Schizosaccharomyces pombe: one gene and its partners. Changing the gene in region 4 together with the main gene of any one other region gives a genetic interaction. Each region holds a gene or a part of one and is shown on either strand. Other genes may lie near its edges. The genes, in order: spd1, suc22, srs2 and rad3.

Region 1 (3,107 bases), on a different chromosome or scaffold from region 4:
CAACAAACTTTATCAAAATAACATCCTAGTTGTAAATTTTATGTGTAGATTAATTGATTTTATGGTATCTTTTGTTTTTAAATAAATTATTCCATTTTTCCCTCTCAAATTATTATTTTTTTTTTAAATATGACTGTTTTTTGCCATATTCGCTGTTTAGTTTGCACTTTTTTAGTTAGCTGAGTAACGTTATTACTGTCTCTTTGTAATCTATAAATATAAGCATTTTATTACATCTTTTCAAAAAAAAAATAATAATAATAATAATAATAAAATTTTATTACTGAAACAGCGTAGAATTCCGTGGCATGTTGGGTAATACTTTTCACATGCCGTAGAGAAAATATCAAAAATTGTTTCCTTTTACGTTACAACCCCTACCAACGCCCTAACATCATAAAAGAAAAAGATTTAAAGTAGAAATAACAAGTTACAAAAGTCGCCCGCAACAGGTTACTTTGGTCGATCTACATGTACACCAAAAAAGTGACATTTACTGAGGAAATACGAGGAATGAGTCTTTCAAAAAATTATGTACGTATTAGAAAAAAATTACTATTCAGATATTCAACGACAACAAAGTAATCCATTATAAGTTGGTCAAGCAGAAAACGATAAGCAAATAAGATAAAATAAAAAAAGATATGACTAGATCATTCATAGATGTAAAGAGTTTAATTAACAAGGAGAGACAAATGCCCAAAAGAAGAGGGGGTTTAATTAGTAGAAAATCACTTAGCCGTCACTCACAAAACCAATAATAAAATGTATTAATGGTATAGGGAATCAACAAAGTCAAAGACTAATGAACGAAGGAATAATTGGAACTATGAGGATTGGTGTCAAATTATCCTTAAAGAAGAGATATACGAGATTCACATTTAGCTTATAATCTCTCATTGGTACCCTCCATGACAACGTCAAACGGCTTCAACCATTCCGGTTCTTCAAAGTCTTGAGGAGGATTGGCCCAGTTATAATTAGGAATTGCTTGCTCGAATGGACGCTTAGTACCGTTAGGCTCATAAGAAAATGCGGTATTTTTTAAAGCAATGTTTTCAGAAACAGTGTTGTAAAGCGGTGGGTTATAGGCAGGAAACGTGGTTTGTTTCGACTTGTATCCGGTGGAAATTGATTTACGAACCCGCATTCCCACGTCCATTAAGGAGCCTTGAATGCTTTCGGGAAGCTGAGGACGCATTGAAGACTCAGGCTGCTCAACATGAGTCTTTGTGGTCATAACTCGCTTGCTGCTGTGCATTTTTTCCAAAATAAATTGTCGACGAACCTTTGTGTAGTGTTTGGTTGTGGGAGCGTTTGCTACTCGGCTTTGTGACGTTTAAAGCAGTCAAATTTGTCTGGGGAATGCCTATCGAACACGGATCTCTTTACATTTCACTAACCCACGTTATTCATAAATGGTAGAAAATCTACAAAATTTGGAATTGCAGTTTTATTGCTTTTGCGATTGAGATCTTGTTTTCTTGTGGTTCTGCCACTTTTTCCGCACTCTTTATATCTAAGAGTTAAAGTAAAACATTTAAAGCAATTAAATTCGCTTTCTCTTTTATTGCCAACTGCTTTCAAGGTAACAGCTGAAACGTTTGTTCGTTAAATTTGGTCAAACCTTTTGCAAAGCTTGAAATCGCTTCTTCCTTTGTTCTTCACATGTTGTCTCATCGTAACTTGGCCCCTGTTCGGTATGGTTTTCTTATTAACTTTACTGGCACCGTCGTGCCATGAAGGACAAGTAGCTGCATATAGATTGTAGTAAGTATAGCTTGAGTTAAAGACCTTTTAAGATAAGATACACATATATAAACATATGGAATAGGTTTATCTTTTTTTCTTAGCCTTTATTTTTGTTTAATAGCTTTTTAAAATTAACAATGACTAATGCTCTGACAAAATTTTAGCATTATTTCAATTTCGCCAATGTATATATTATGTGTTTAAACAATATTAACAAAAGTGGTTGGGTTTGAAGAAATAAAGAATCTACCTAGAATTAACAGGATGAGCATTTTCAAAATAAAATGACTTTATTACATACATTCCTAGTTTCTTTCTTTACCGATTCTCAAACTTCTGTTTAATTACTGCTTCAATAGATGCAGGTAGATGATGATTTTACATTAATAAGACCAAGGGAACAAAAAGAATACCAAATATAATTCAATACCACATGCTTGGATTTGTAAATTGAACATATTGTAAACTTACTTGTTCTGGGTCTATCCAGTATGAGCACGCTGACTGCCTCACTCAAAATATTCGTTGAAAAAGCTTTTCTTATTCATTCATTGTTGATAATTAGTGTCTATCTTTGCGTACCATATGTTTTTTGGATAAACAACCTACTACAGTTACATAGTATGATTGATATTATTAATTCAAAGATATTCGCTACATAAGGCGCCGAGTGTAAAAAACAGAGTGAATTTTATTACACTAACAGTGTTATTTCTTCAACAACTATTATGGAATTTCTGGAAAAGAATGGCATTCAAATGTTGCGCGTGATGGTGATTTTTTGTAGATGCTTGAATGAAATGAAAGTAAAGATTTTAAAGCCTTTTCTTTTAATAGGTTTCTTTAATATTTAACACTAAAGTCAAGAGTTGTCGTTTACACTCCGGTACTGTGAGCCCCTACGAGGATTCCGCGAGTAAAGAAGGAACGCCGCCAACAGCCACAACTTCTTCCTTGAGACAATTTCCTGATCTCACTGTTTCTTTGACACGAAACTTTGAAACGTTAGAAGATCTATATGTTACGCATCGAGATATTTTCGGAAATTTTCTAAAAAGAAGATTTTCGGTGAAATTTCAGCTGGTCTTCTTTCTATTGTTTTGGCTTCCTTCGGCAATTACTTTTTGTTCAATAAAACTGTAGATTTTTTAACTTTCTCTTTCTTTTTGTCCATTATCATACAATGCAGACGGCATCATCTCTTTCTGTTTTAACTCCTTTGAATGAGGAAAACGTTGATAGGAAGTCTTCTTGGTCAAAAGACACAATCGCTGTCCAGGCAGTCGGTTCATCACCATCTTCTTCGTCATCTCATGATTTCGAAAGTAAAGAGGATGCCGAAGGGATGAATAAAG
Region 2 (3,789 bases), 2.8 Mb from region 4:
GCAACAATTTTTTTGGATCTAGTTTCCGACCAAGCACGAATAGCTGTAACGCTTAAATCTCTATTAAATTGTTGTACGGGGTTATAAAAGACTTCATTCGGATTTGAAAATGGTATAATTGCACTACCCTCGGTCAAACTTGCAGAAGCCCCCGACATCATGGCGGTTGAGAAGTGATTCACAGCATTTGAGATCCTTTGACTTAATCTTAGCATATTGGCTTCATACATTTAATACGAATTAAAGAAAAATAATCGTTAAAAAAAAAGAAAGTATTGATTATTTTTGAGAGTAAATTTGCAGTAATTCATTAAAAAAATACGAGATGTGATAAGTCAACCATAAATCGAATTACAAAGTATTGTATAATACATGTAATCTTGTAGGTTTAGGTAATTGACAATAAGGATAATAAGTAAATGGTCTTTTAGTCTATGACTGGAAAATAACTTTTCTTAGACGTAGTAAATTAATGAAAAAGAGAAAAGAACTTGAATAGAAATACTTCAGAAATTAGAACTTCGTCATTACATTCACTGAAGTAGCCATTTAGATTTGTAAAGTATAGAGTAACGAAAATCTAATTAAACATATTAATTTATTATTGCTAAATAGGTTATCAGTAATCAATAATATTTTTTTTTTGCTTTAACTTATCTAAAAACCAAAAATAACTAGTCATCTAAAAGTCCTCATCGATTGTAAATGTATGATCATCCTTCTCAGCGCGCTTGGTACCCGACATAACGCCAGCAATTTGGTAGTCAGAAACTTTCTTTTCAAAGAAATTTGTTTTTCCTGCTAAAGAGATATTCTCCATGAAATCGAAAGGATTGGTTACGTTATAGTACTTGTCATTGCCCAAAGCAACCAACAAACGATCAGCAACAAATTCAATATACTGACACATCAAATCCTTATTCATACCAAGCAGACTAACGGGAAGAGCGTCCGTGAAGTATTCTTTCTCAATATCAACAGCTTCAACAATAATGGCTTCAACAACCTTGCGGCCTGGTCTGTGCTTCAAATGACTAAACATCAAACAGGCAAAGTCGGTGTGAAGACCCTCATCACGACAAATCAATTCATTGGAAAAAGTAAGACCAGGCATAAGTCCACGTTTCTTAAGCCAAAAAATAGAGGCAAACGATCCAGAAAAGAAGATACCTTCTACAGCAGCAAAGGCAACCAAACGAATTGCATAGGTGGAATCTTCATCATTAATCCAACGAAGAGCCCACTTGGCTTTGGCCTTAATAGAACCCATTGTTAAAATAGCATCGAAATGACGCTGTTTTTCCTTAGGTTCACGAATGTATGTATCAAGCAAAAGTGAGTAGGTCTCAGAGTGAATATTTTCAATCATAATTTGGAAACCATAAACACAACGAGCTTCAGGGATCTGAACTTCAGAGCTGAAACGCTCGAGAAGATTCTCATTAACAATACCATCTGACGCAGCGAAATAGGCGAGTACAGTGGAAATAAAGTAACGTTCATCAGCATTTAACTTGTTATCCCAATCAACCAAGTCTTTCGAAAGATCAATTTCCTCAGCAGTCCAAAAAGATGCTTCAGCCTTCTTGTAGAATTGCCAAATTTCGTGATACTTAATTGGAAACAAAACAAAGCGGTGAGGATTAGGGCGAAGCACAACTTCATCAAGCTCATCTTCCTTTTTGCCCAAGTAGTAGTCGCCTCCTTCCTGTTTCTCTTCTTCACTTACATTATCAAAGTTAAAGGTTTCTTTAATAGATTTAACATAAATTTTACGAACACCTTGTTCGCTATCATACTCGACTTCTTCACCATGTTCCTTAGGATAACTGAATTCTTCGAGATGCTCAAGGCCCATTTTGTAAGATTAATAATGAGATTTCGTCCAAACTGACCGGATTTATCTGTATATAGAATAAGTACAAAAGTTTTCTTCCACCGCGATTATCTCTTGCGATGTGGCTTCCCAAGATGTGTTGTGGTTAATGGCAAAACTTTCAAAGGTAGGTTATCCAATGTAGTGCACAGTATTGTAGTATATTCAACACCACCGTTTTTTTTGTGGATGTTAATTTGTCGCACTTTGGGTATGATAACACAATGAATAAGAGTGAAGGCAAAATAGACAAAATGCTGCCTTATTTTACAGAGTGGAAAATTGCAGTTAAACTAAGTCAAAGGCTGATGGAGATGAATAACGTTGAAAAAAAACAATGTACTAATTAATATTTGGAGACAAACGCAACGAGTAAAAAAAATGAAATAAATTCGAAGACAATCTCAAATTAAATGGGAAAAGCAAGGGCTTACTTCCTTTCCCTTCTGGTGTGTTATAATAACGGTTTCTTAAAGCAGGAAATTGTAGCTAGTTAATAGAAAAATGTGATAGCTTAAATCGAAGAATTCGATGCTAAGCGTGGAGTCGAATAAATTCAATTATTTAGGCTCAAATAATTGAAAAAATAGAAATGAATTTATTACTTTATGTAATAAATAAATTATTAAATTTCTCACTTTTTGTTATAATTTAATAAAGTAGTTTTCAGTGTAATACTTAAGACGCGTCAGGGTACCTCAATTTATGTTGTAGATGAAACGCAATGATATCAGCCTAGTAGTACGATATGATGTTAGAAATAAATATCTCTTCACAATCTCCTTTTCATCCGAGATGTAGAGCGCTTTATAACTGCTCAAATATTACAAATCACGAAACTTCTAATGCGACGCGACCGTACATAAAGACATTGCTTAATTAAAAAAAGATAAGCGCGACAGAGACCTAGCCACATACTGTGAATAATTTTAATACCTTGATCCTTTCGTAAAAAAAAAAAGAAATACTTATATTCGTCTATTGTAAACAGAAAATAAATAAGCATTCCAATAGCACGTTTCTATTGCGTGTTGTGCTTTTAGGTACAGTTTACAATGTGGTATAAAACAATAAAGAATTTTCTATATTCATTCTTCACTGATGTTTGAAATAACCGAACAAAAAATAAAAAGTTCCCTACTCGAAGTTTTTATATTGTTGATATCGCATTTCTTTTGAGAATTTCCCTGCTAACTTACTTCATAAGTTTTCAAAAAAATTTTTAAAAATAAAAGTGAAATAAATTTTAGGCAGTAGTCTAAATAACTCTCATGTTTAGAAATACAAAACGTGTAGAAGAAAAATAGGAAAAATTATGGATAGCTAAAATAACAATCGATTGAAGCAATGAAAACAATTAGACATACATTTATGAAAATAAAATGACCAATTTATTGTCTGGCAAAATGATTATTATTAATTTAAAACAAATAAACTGTTTATTTATACATAGTGAATACTCTCCAAAAAAAATTTCTAACAGTACTACATAGTGGCTTTTAAAATCAAACTGAATGTTTACTTTTGCTGCGAGAGTAATAAATTAAAAAGGAAATATGTAGAGAATCAAAAAAATTATACACTGCAATTTCTTTAGAGTCAATGACAATTTGTATATGCCCTAAGTTACAATATTTACATTTTTGTTACCTTACGAGTTCGCGTTGATTCATACTACCAACTAACTAAAACAACCTAAAGAAGAACCTTTCTTGGTATCTTACCCTTACTTAATACCCTTGCTTTCTTTTTGAACCTTTATATTTTTTGCTAATTCAGCAGAAAAGTTTTGGGATACTTTTTTGGTTTGAAAAGCATGGCACTTCCCACCATAGATTTAAAAATCCCAGAGTATGAAGAATGTCAACATAAAATTACGGATTTTCTATCCCACTTCAAGCAGGAACAGGTTC
Region 3 (5,985 bases), on a different chromosome or scaffold from region 4:
TTCATTTTGACTTACGAAATGTATTAATAAGGACGATTTGTATTTTTTTCGAATATATACAGGGTTCAAAAATGCATTTAGTGCTATATTTTGACAAGAAGTATCGCCTATTTGACCATTCCTGTACAGTCCATTAGACCATGCACTAGCCATCTAGTCCGCGTTCCACAAAAACAAAACAACACCTCGATAAGGCTTTAAGAGGGTAGAACAACGTGTCACATTTTTTTGAAACTCGAAGTATCCGAGATTTAGCTATGAAAAGATGTCGTTCTGAACATGTTCCTAGTAGGTTACCAAGAAAGAAGTGTAAAAATCATTTGGATAGTAAGTGAAGAATTTAGCGATTTTTTACTAAGCTTCTAAGTGAGATCTTTTCTTAGTTTGTTTGCAAGCAAAAAAAGTAATGCCCATGATGCCTCTTCTATCGTTTTAAATGAAAAGGTTAATTTTGTTACTGACAATGACCATCTGCCTTCATCTACCGGTGTTTGCGAATTTTGTGATAACGTATTATATCTTTCTACATGTGATCGCTGCCAACGAAATATTTGTCGAAACTGTAGTACTCTAATGTAAGTTTATTATCTGTATCTATTTTCAAGCTGACATTATATGTAGGTATTTTAAAGAAAACACCGTAGCAAGGTGTTTAGATTGTCTATAAATATAATACGTGATTTTGTACAACATGATATGACTATAACATTCGTGAAACTCGTAGCCTTACACCCAATCGTTTTCTCGAACCAGCAGGACGGGCACTCGCGACCTTAGTATTTGATTGATTAAGGTCAGTATGTTGCACAACATCTTGGTGACCTTCCCTCAACGTTCTATTTATTACCTGATCTTTCGTAGAAGGACCTCTACCAAGATTTTGTCTGACGCTGCTCATGAAAGAAGCGTTTGTCGTTGAGGCTCTTGTCGATACAATACGATTGACAGTTTCAAAACTTCGATCATTTAAATCTTTATTTGCAACCATTATGCTTGCGGACCTTGACGGCTCAGAAATCTCTACATCTGAATCGATTGGTTGTTTTTTCTCAAACCAACTTCGTATATCGGTTTTCGATCTCTTGGCATTATGTTTTCTAAAATTTGTTTCATCTTTATTATAGTCATTGACACTTTTGACTCGTTCTCTCTTTTTCAATTCTGCCTCAGCTAGAACACGACAGCATTGGAAGCCCAAGTTTTCGAATTTAGTTCCGTTATGATTTGCATTTGAACCAATACCGCTTAAATTAGTTATTTTCCCATAAGATTTCCGACCCAATATGGTTCCAATTTCAGAAGCAATCTTTTCATTAAAAACTATTTCACTTTCCATCACCCATCTTTTCATTTCTTCTCCTTTTAAAAATGGACTGACGTCCTGTACATTGTCTGAGTTCTGCATATCTGCAAACATTCCAGTGACGCTTTTAAAGGAAGATAGATACAGTAGCGCCTGTGCACGTGTGGCACCGACATATAGCAGCCTTCTTTCCTCGTCGAGGTCGTCTGAACGAGAATGAGGGATAATATTTTCACAAAGACAAGGTAAAAATACAACAGGCCACTCTAAACCCTTAGCTGCGTGAAGGGTTGAAATGGTAACCTTCTGAGATTCGCCCTCTTTCTGTTCTTCATTCACAAGAGCGATTTGAGTCAAAAAATTCTGCAATAGAACAATTGTTGATATTTTGTAATCTAATTCATAGAATATACAAGATATGTTATCGCTTTGTTGTACAAGCTCCATTACATTTTCCCATTTTTCTTCGACAGTTTCTTTATTTTTCCGAACCAGGTATTCGTAATATTTAATCTCAGAAAGTATTCCCAAAAGTAAATCACTAAGAGTTGCTGAGTGCCCATTAGACAAGTAACGATTTTCAAGTTTGGAGATTGAACAAAGAAAAGACTTTAAAGACTTTAGAAAACTCTTGTCATTTCTTTGAGAAAGTAAAATATTTTCATTCTTTACTTCATTTAAAGTTTGCCAAAAGGTCAATCCTCTTCTTTCACTTTCGAAAATAATACGGTCGATTTTTGTTTTGCCAATATTTCTAGGAGGGACATTGATGACACGAATTAAAGAAGTCGAATCTTTGTTAGCTAGGACTCTCAAGTAAGCTATTAAGTCTCGAATCTCTTCTCTATCAAAAAACTTGTTAACTCCAACCATGCGGTAGGGCACACCAAGTTCGGAAAGTGCATGTTCTAAACTTCTTGTAAGGCTGGAGGACCTTACAAGGATTGCGATATCGTTATAAAATATAAGCTCTGGACAAGAACCTACTATACGTTTAATTTCTCTAAAGAATCGTTAGTAAACTTTCATGCAATGAAGCCATACGAACCTTGCGATCCAGTAAGATTCTTTATTGTTAGTTTCAAACAATCGGTAATGAGGCTTTAAGGAAGAGATGTGATTACTTTTGAGCCCCTTCTTAGGCCTGCTTTTGTCCTGTGAAATGATAGACAGTGCTAATTCAAGTATAGGTTTAGCTGAACGGTAATTTCTTTCCAAATGAAGCACTTGGGTACCTTCAAAGTCTTCAGACATTTGGTTTAAGTTCCTAATTTCAGCACTTCGAAATCCATAGATTGATTGATCGGGATCGCCAACAATCGTGATATCTGAATTTTGCAATGCCAAAAGCTTAACAAGAAAATATTGGATTTTGCTAGTATCTTGAAATTCATCGATTAAAATATGTTTTATATTCCTCACACAATCTGGTTGCTTTTGAAGTAATAAAATAAAGTTTAAAAGCAAATCATCAAAATCCTAAATAGTTAGATATATACATACAACTTTATGCTTGTTACGTACCGCTAAATTGTTCTTCCATAAGGAAGTTTGATAAAGTCTATACAATTCAACAGATTGATGGCTTTGAAGCTCTTTAGGTGGTTCTTCCAGACCATTAATCAAACTCAACTGATCCATTCCAGGTTTAACAAGAAGACCGTTGGACTTTAATTTAGTTATGCGATTTAGAGCATTCTGAGGAGTCAATTCTTGTCCTCTAATACCAGAAGCAATCGGATTTTTAGCTTTCTTGAGAGAGTCTAAAAGTCGCTTCATAATAGCTTGACTAAATAGATCAGCAATGGTTGAAAGTGGAGAAGTAAAAGTTAGAAAAGTGTAAACAAGACATACGTATCATTTCTGTCAGCAATCAACCAATTTGAGGATAGCCCTATATGCTTGCCATATTTAACCAAATACTTGTACGCTATAGAATGAAACGTCCCAGAAATAAGCTTAGAGGCTTCACTATTCCCCAAAATAGCTTCAATTCTGAGCTTTATTTCATTTGCGGCTTTGTTCGTAAAGGTGGCTATAATTAAATCTTCGGCTGCAATATGGTTCTTTTGAAGTAAATAGGCTACTCGAGCGGTAAGAACACGGGTTTTTCCAGACCCAGGACCGGCTAAAATTTGAGTATACTTATGAGGACTCTGAACACTAATCCTTTGTTCTTCATTCAGAAACTTCAAGTATGATGATTTCGTTTCCATAATTGAGAAGAACAAAACACTCAACCGACAGCTTCAAATGTATATTTTAAAAAAGTGAGAAATAGGAAAACAATGCAAAGATTTTTGGCCAAACACGGTCTTTTCCGATGAGTTGTCGGGTAATAAATATTAAATTGTGAAACGATGACACGTCAAACTAAGAAAATTAACAAATACTTATTATTTTAACGAAAGCATAGCATAGGTGAAATAATTTAGAAGATCAACCCTTATTTAGTTGAAAACAACACTTGCAATTTCTTAGTATTCTCGATTGACCTACCAGCGCGAAAGGGCTGATACACGGATACGAAAAAGATTTTAATCCACCTGTTTTTACTACAAGAAATTTGAGTAAATCGTGAACGTATAACAAATGAAAGCCTTTCAATTCAGTATTCTTAAGTAATGATTTTATTGTGTGAAAACCTGATTTTGCGATTGTCTTAGTCTTGTGTTTCGACCTCCCAAAAGTGGTGTTAGTGCAGCAAAACGCAAATGATGAAGGCAAGAAAGCAAGATATATGTAACAGTGTGTTGTTCAGAAAATAATACCCATTGTCAAACGAACATCACAAACCGAATTACAATTTGAACGTATCAATATTATTCTTCAATTTATCTCATGTCACAAGCCATTCGTGAAGCAACTCATGCAGGATCTTGGTATTTGGATGATACAGAATTACTAACTAAGCAATTAAAATCATTTATCAAAAACCCAACGCCCGAGACTGGGAAACGGTTTGTCATTTCACCGTACGTATAGACAACTTATAATTTATGTGATATTCAGTATATAGCTAAATATTGAGCAGACATGCTGGTTACATGTATAGTGGGAAAGTCGCATCCCAAGGATTTCAGCAATTGGACTTTTCGAAAATTCAGAGAGTTTTTGTTTTTGGGCCTTCTCATCACATCTTTACTAGAAAATGCCTAGTCAGTCGAGCTAGCATCTGCTCAACACCTTTAGGTGATTTGAAAGTGGATGAAGACTGTATGTGAAAACAGTTTTGCTTAGTAGTTTTACTAAATTGCTACTGTCTATTTCTCAGCACAGATTATTTGCTAACTGGAAATTTATATAGTATGTCAGAAACTCGTCGCTAGCGATAACAGCTTCGACTCAATGACCTTGGATGTGGATGAAAGTGAACATAGCCTCGAAATGCAATTCCCTCTTTTAGCTTTTCATTTGCTGAAACAAGGATGCTTGGGAAAAGTCAAAATTGTTCCTATCATGATAGGTGCCTTAACTTCAACCACAATGATGGCAGCAGCGAAATTTCTGAGTCAGTATATTAAAGATGAATCAAATTCATTTGTTATATCTTCCGATTTTTGTCATTGGGGAAGAAGATTTGGATATACCCTTTATTTGAACGATACGAATCAATTAGAGGATGCAGTCTTAAAATACAAAAGACGAGGTGGCCCCACTAGTCCCAAAATTTATGAGTCTATATCTAATTTGGATCATATTGGTATGAAAATTATTGAAACGAAAAGTAGTGATGACTTTTCAGAGTATTTGAAAACCACTCAAAACACCATATGCGGCCGTTACCCTATAGAACTCATTATGAAATCTATGGAATGCGCCAATTTCTCTGAAAGATTCAAGTTTATTTCGTACGCTCAAAGTAGCCATGTTGAATTGGTCACCGATAGCAGCGTTAGCTATGCAACCGCAACCGCATAGTATTGTTGATATTTTATTATTATTTTTTTCATGACTTGAAACGGCTGATGCGAAACGATCATATATTTAAGTATTTGAGAGCCGAAAATTATCGGAACATGTATTATGCAACCTGTGTTTGTTAGTTATTATCATCAGATTCATACTCAGGAGGCTAATTTTGCAATGCTTTTTCTGATCTAGGCAAATTACGATAAATGAAATGCGCTTTATTTCTCAATTGCAACATTTACGAAACATACCCTTTTCCATTTATATAATTTTTTTGTTTTCTGTATGTATCAATTGGTCTCTCTTGAGAATTAATCAATTTTTAAATCTTTCTACTATGTATAAAACTACTGTTTTTGATATTCTGAACAAATTTCTTTTACACGATTAGTAACGAAAACATTATTATATTATCAAAGTCAATTCATGCATGTGCATAACCTTCTAAACTAGTATGCTTTCCAGCTTTGCTTGAAAATTATACAGCCTCAACGAGTTCAAGACAAAATTTCAATACAAAAATTTCATGTTTAACAATAAATTAACACAAAAACAAACAAAAAAAAAATGAATAAAAGGAAGCCTACAGCACCCCGGATTCCCATGTTGTCTCCAACCATAGTACTAACGAGGCCCTCAGACGCTTAACTGCAGTGATCGGACGGGAACTGGTGTTTTCGCCTAGGTATGGCCGTAGACATTTGTTGTATAAATTACTTTTATTTAAACGTTTAAGAAGTACCGTATAGTGTCTACCGGCAGAGTATTTT
Region 4 (4,775 bases):
GGCTCCTTGGTTGCTAATATCAAACTGAACCAAGCTTTGATTGCATAAAACCTTAAGTGCTCATTTTGAAAAGCACTTTGTAAATTAGAAAGTATCTGTGGTAATCCAAGTTTGACTGCACCTCCACATAAAGATAACATTTTTTCAATGCCGACAATTGTCTTAATCTTTTCATTAATTGAAGTCTTTCCTTTCAGGTCGTTAAGGATATTAGAAAATTCTGCTAAGATACCCAAAATGTGATTATTAAAAAAATCATAAAGTAATTCCTTATTGCTCAAGTCTTCGTCATTAACCACTTGAGAGACAATCATTGCTACCTTTCTTAAAGCATTTTCAATTTTTTCATGAGGAACATCATTCTGATAAAGCTGTAACAACTCCACAGTAATAGAAATAGGATCAGAGCGTAACAAAGACGTTAAATCAACTTTTTCAAAATCAGAAGTGGCCAGTGAAAGAAGAAGCATCACACTCTCTTCCAAATTAGGATGATCCGTAGTAAGTAGCGAAGCAAGGATTTTATGCATATTGGTAAGGCACAAAGTAGCAACATCACTTTGTGAAAGTTCAGCTATACGTACTATTAACGCTTTGTTTTTAGTAAGTACAAGGAATGGTAAAGTGTACGCCTGTGTTCGAATAAGAAAATCGCCCTCGGAAATATTCATAAGCTGAGCAAATAAACTGGCTATGTTCGGTTTTTTACCCATACCTTGGACAATCGCAACGGACACTGTTGGCCAATATGGAGAAAGTAATTGCCAAACGGATATATGACGCGTCGAGGCAATTTGTTGCAGAGCGCTGAGACCAATGCCTTGATAAAATATTCCGCTGTTTATCACAGAAGATATAACTTCCAATAGTACAAAATGTAATTCTTCTTCTTCTACCACTCTAGATAAGGAGATCCAGGAAAGAATGACCGTTTCTAAAATAGCTGTATTTTCCACCGCCAATATTTTCAACGTATTAAAAATCAAGGCTTTACTTTCCTTGTGAAATTCAACTATATCAAGATTATTAGGTCCCTTAATGAAAATGGGCAAAACTTTTGCAGCAACAACACGTAAACATCTTGAAGTACTGGCTAATGCTTTCATAATAAATTCTCTTAAACTTAACATTGATTCTTTATTAAAGTTTGAGCAATGCTGGCTCCACCGAAAAAAGCCATCAAGCAACAATGATTGTTTAACAGAAGAGGAAATTATGTCGGGATTTTTTAGCAATGCACAAAACAATTCGTGATAAGGAATTTTAAAGAGCGACCGCTCATCAAATAGTAAACAAAATGAGTTACAAACTTCACAACCATGTACTTCATATGTGCGGAAAATACTATTTGTTTTCTCATTCACCTTTGCAACATGAGTACACAAAACTAAAGAGAAGTTCTTCAGGTCGTCCTCACTTATTGTAACATTATGAGAGCTATAATAATCTAACATTTCACGAAAGTGCTTTAAATTAGACGGTTCATCTAAGTTGTTGTTTATACACCATTTTGCAAATGTACATATGTTATGACCATTCTGGAAATCCACTTTAAGAATATTTGACAAGTCATTGTCCAAGGAAAGATAATGTAAAAGAAAAAGGTTTAATTCAGAGTTAGAAAACAACGTGTTTTCAAGTTTACCAGTACAAATTTCGCCAAAAGCACGGAGAGTTGTTTGATCTATTTCTGAACTTTGGTATCTGCACTTAAATAATATTATTGCCTTTTTGAGATCAGAATCTGGTTCAAGTTGCTCTAATACCTTGAAGTCAGAAAGTAAGGAAACCCCAAAAGGATAGAATAGACCAGCTACAGTTTTGGGTAAAACAAATAAAGAGAGAAAAAAAAGAGATATAGCAGTATTAGCAACTGTATAAGTTTTCTTCAATGATCCCAATGTTAAGTTGATGGAGGACATTAAAATATGTTTAGATTTTTCACAAATGGGAAGGCCATGATATATAAAATTCAAGGAAAAACAGCATAAAGTTTGGACTATACGTGAATGCAAATGTAGAAAGAGCTGTGAGTCTCCGATGCTGATTCGTTTTAATAAAATAACAAAATTAAAAAAACATGGCTTGATCCAAGTCCACGCTGTAAAGAGAGGTGGACTAGGAAAATTGGATTTCTTTAAATATGAGCATTGTGCAAAAAAATGGGCACTTTCAAAGAAAAATGTACAAGCCTCCTCTATATTAATGATAAGTAAATCAAATTTGTCCTCTCGATGGGTTGGATAATTTGGGGTGATACTCTGCAATGGTTGAGAATTGGGTGAGGGCATCTTGTAAGGGAATGTAGCATTAGTGATTTGGAGAACTATAGAAGAAACGTTTGTAATATAATATTTCCAATAACGCATAAACGAAGCATATAAGTCCCATAGGAATGACTTTTCACTGATTAGCTGATAAATTAGCTTATGAAACTCTTTTAATGAGTCAAATAACTTAATAAAACGAATATCAGCAAACAATGATATAGTCCTGGGTAAAATCCAATCCAAAAGAGTAACAGATGATTTAATCTCCCGCAAAACTGTCGGAGACCTTTTTAAGATTAGCATTAACGCTTGTAGAGAGAGATGGGCTTCTTTTAGCATCTTAGGAGAGATAAATTCAGATTTTGAATCATCATGTTTAAAAGCTAGAAGACCAACTTCAATTAAAACTTCAACAAGCTCGGAGGTCATAGATGGTAAAGAATTACTTCTACCTAACTCATGTTCTTTGTCTAATGCTAATACTTCTTTCAAAAGCTGTCCGAAAGCCTGTCTGTCATCTAAGCCTCTGGGTGAAAGATCGAGTGACCCAGCTTTCCTTTTTGCGTGTTGGCTCATACTATATCAAACCATTGATTCAATTCAAAAAAAGGCCTTTTTAAAACGCAACACGCGCGTTCAAAGTCTTGAGCATTTATAAAAGACGATTGTAAGTAATAAAATATCTCAATAGAATTATGCGAAAAGTGGCAATCGATTATCAAATCGATTTCCACTCACGAGGTAAAGGAAGATGCATGGTGCACTAAGTATCGAGCGATGCTAATTAACGAGCTTTTGTGATACTGAATTTTCAGAGGAAACTAACTTTTAAGTAATATTAGGCTGGATGTTTCTGATAATGATTGAATTTTTTGACTTTTGATGTGATTATAATGGTCAATAAACAAAAAAAAAAGTTATTGTTGAAAGGTAGTAGGAGAGAAAATAAGCTATTTTACGGCTAATAAAAGAAGAAATGAGTTTTAATTCAATTATTTCTTAAATAAATAATAAGAAAATATTGAAAAGATAAGTTATAATCGCACATCCTAGTTCTCATTGACTATAGCGTCAGTGGAGCGTCATACGCAGGGCATTGGTTCACTAGATCGCGGATTCTTCTGTGTTTTATACTTACTAAGCAGTTTTTACTTGGTACCTACCTATTCACATAAATAGTGGTCAAAAAGTCGTTTACTTACTTGAAAATTTTTGTAGTGCCAGTTGTGGTACATATCGTCTTGTGTTTTCATGAAAAAAGTGATTACTACACACTTTTCAATCTGTGGAAATACGAAGTTTACGAATCTTTTGAAACGTGCATATAACGTCTCCTACCCTGTCCAAAACGTCAAAAATAATACAAAGATGGGATTTCCATTGGAAAAAAGCGAAGATGAATGGAAAAAGGAGCTAGGTCCTGAGAAGTATCGAATTATGAGACAAAAGGGTACTGAGCACCCAGGTGCAGGACGATTCACTCATCAGTTCCCTAAACAGGGCGTTTTTGTTTGCGCTGCATGTAAAGAGCTTCTTTATAAAGCTAGCACAAAGTTTGAAAGCCATTGTGGATGGCCTGCGTTTTTCGATAATTTACCTGGAAAGGTGAAACGCATTGAAGACAACTCTTATGGAATGCATCGTGTAGAAGCAGTTTGTGCCAACTGTGGTGGTCATTTAGGCCATATTTTTAAAGGAGAAGGTTATTCTAATCCTACTGACGAACGCCATTGTATAAATTCGGCGAGTTTGGAATTCCATAATGAGGCAACAAATGACAATTGAACTAGATTATGCTTAATATTTCTGTATTTTCTTTATTAGATGTTAGCACCAGTTCGAATTGTTTGTGCTTGATGTACGGCTATTATTTTATTTAAAGTTGCTTGTTCACGTTTTGGTTAACTTCAATAAAATGCATTTACTTTTAACATTTTAAACTAATATATTTTGTTTTCAAAGAGTGTAGTAATCTCTAGGTCAGAAATTAGATTTACTAGCCGTATGTTATAACTAAGCTGCTTATGCCAAAGTTAATAAACGATAACACAATGTTTACACTACCTGATATGATCTTCCATTTATTTCAACTATAAAGGGTATAACTAAAGTATCCCTCACTTAAATATTTATTAATTTGCGTACGCTTCATAGGTCATTGAAAAATTTTCGTTCTTTTTTCAGAAGATTTTAAGAAAGGAGTAAAAGATGCGTGGACTACAATAATACGCGAAGGATCCGAAAATGTCATTACATTATACTGAATAAGTATAGGATGATTCTCCTTTTACGACGAATCCAGCAATGGCTTTATATATTGGCACATTTCCATCCGTCATGTCAACCACCAAATGGATGGACTGATTATCAAGAGCGAACAGTAGTACAGTACGCGCGACGTTTTCACGAGACATCATACAATTTATGGATATCTTACCCAATGCAACTTTTCCAGAACCCTTCTCGTCTGTCATACCAGAAGGACGTAAAATCGTCCAATCAATA

What was found.
Region 1: of rad3 (region 4) and spd1, a mutation in one rescues a mutant of the other (synthetic rescue), as found in Schizosaccharomyces pombe (4 studies listed by BioGRID).
Region 2: of rad3 (region 4) and suc22, extra expression of one rescues a mutant of the other (dosage rescue), as found in Schizosaccharomyces pombe (3 studies listed by BioGRID, with this or other methods).
Region 3: mutations in rad3 (region 4) and srs2 impair growth when combined (synthetic growth defect), as found in Schizosaccharomyces pombe (3 studies listed by BioGRID, with this or other methods).

What each region holds. Positions count from the first base shown.
Region 1 is NC_003424.3:5,410,643-5,413,749, reverse strand, and holds spd1 (ribonucleotide reductase (RNR) inhibitor), read right to left. Parts: upstream 1,308-3,107; 5' UTR 1,262-1,307; coding exon 887-1,261; 3' UTR 531-886; downstream 1-530. Other genes in the region: histone lysine H3-K36 methyltransferase Set2, read left to right, coding at 2,936-3,107. UniProt on the Schizosaccharomyces pombe protein: Regulates the ribonucleotide reductase activity through its mediation of the nuclear localization of suc22, the small subunit of the ribonucleotide reductase. Delays the progression of the G1-S phase transition, thereby ensuring the G1 phase is complete.
Region 2 is NC_003423.3:3,719,824-3,723,612, reverse strand, and holds suc22 (ribonucleotide reductase small subunit Suc22), read right to left. Parts: upstream 1,991-3,789; 5' UTR 1,859-1,990; coding exon 683-1,858; 3' UTR 541-682; downstream 1-540. Other genes in the region: trm1 (mitochondrial tRNA (guanine-N2-)-methyltransferase Trm1.1), read right to left, coding at 1-230; MCM complex subunit Mcm7, read left to right, coding at 3,693-3,789. UniProt on the Schizosaccharomyces pombe protein: Provides the precursors necessary for DNA synthesis. Catalyzes the biosynthesis of deoxyribonucleotides from the corresponding ribonucleotides.
Region 3 is NC_003424.3:3,830,309-3,836,293, reverse strand, and holds srs2 (UvrD subfamily ATP-dependent DNA helicase), read right to left. Parts: upstream 4,016-5,985; 5' UTR 3,520-4,015; coding exon 3,158-3,519; intron 3,093-3,157; coding exon 2,828-3,092; intron 2,808-2,827; exon of another isoform or gene 2,783-2,807; coding exon 2,352-2,782; exon of another isoform or gene 2,307-2,351; coding exon 701-2,306; 3' UTR 668-700; coding exon of another isoform or gene 622-667; 3' UTR 576-621; downstream 1-575. Other genes in the region: SPOM_SPAC4H3.16 (uncharacterized protein), read left to right, coding at 258-327, 368-575, 622-667; SPOM_SPAC4H3.04C (uncharacterized protein), read left to right, coding at 4,145-4,278, 4,338-4,519, 4,611-5,224. UniProt on the Schizosaccharomyces pombe protein: ATP-dependent DNA helicase involved in DNA repair at least for UV-induced lesions. Also aids the recombinational repair of camptothecin-induced collapsed replication forks.
Region 4 is NC_003423.3:902,436-907,210, reverse strand, and holds the start of rad3 (ATR checkpoint kinase Rad3), read right to left. Parts: upstream 3,028-4,775; 5' UTR 2,847-3,027; coding exon 1-2,846. Other genes in the region: peptide-methionine (R)-S-oxide reductase Mxr2, read left to right, coding at 3,639-4,055; SPOM_SPBC216.03 (uncharacterized protein), read right to left, coding at 4,526-4,775. UniProt on the Schizosaccharomyces pombe protein: Serine/threonine kinase which activates checkpoint signaling upon genotoxic stresses. Involved in G2 arrest following DNA damage where it phosphorylates chk1.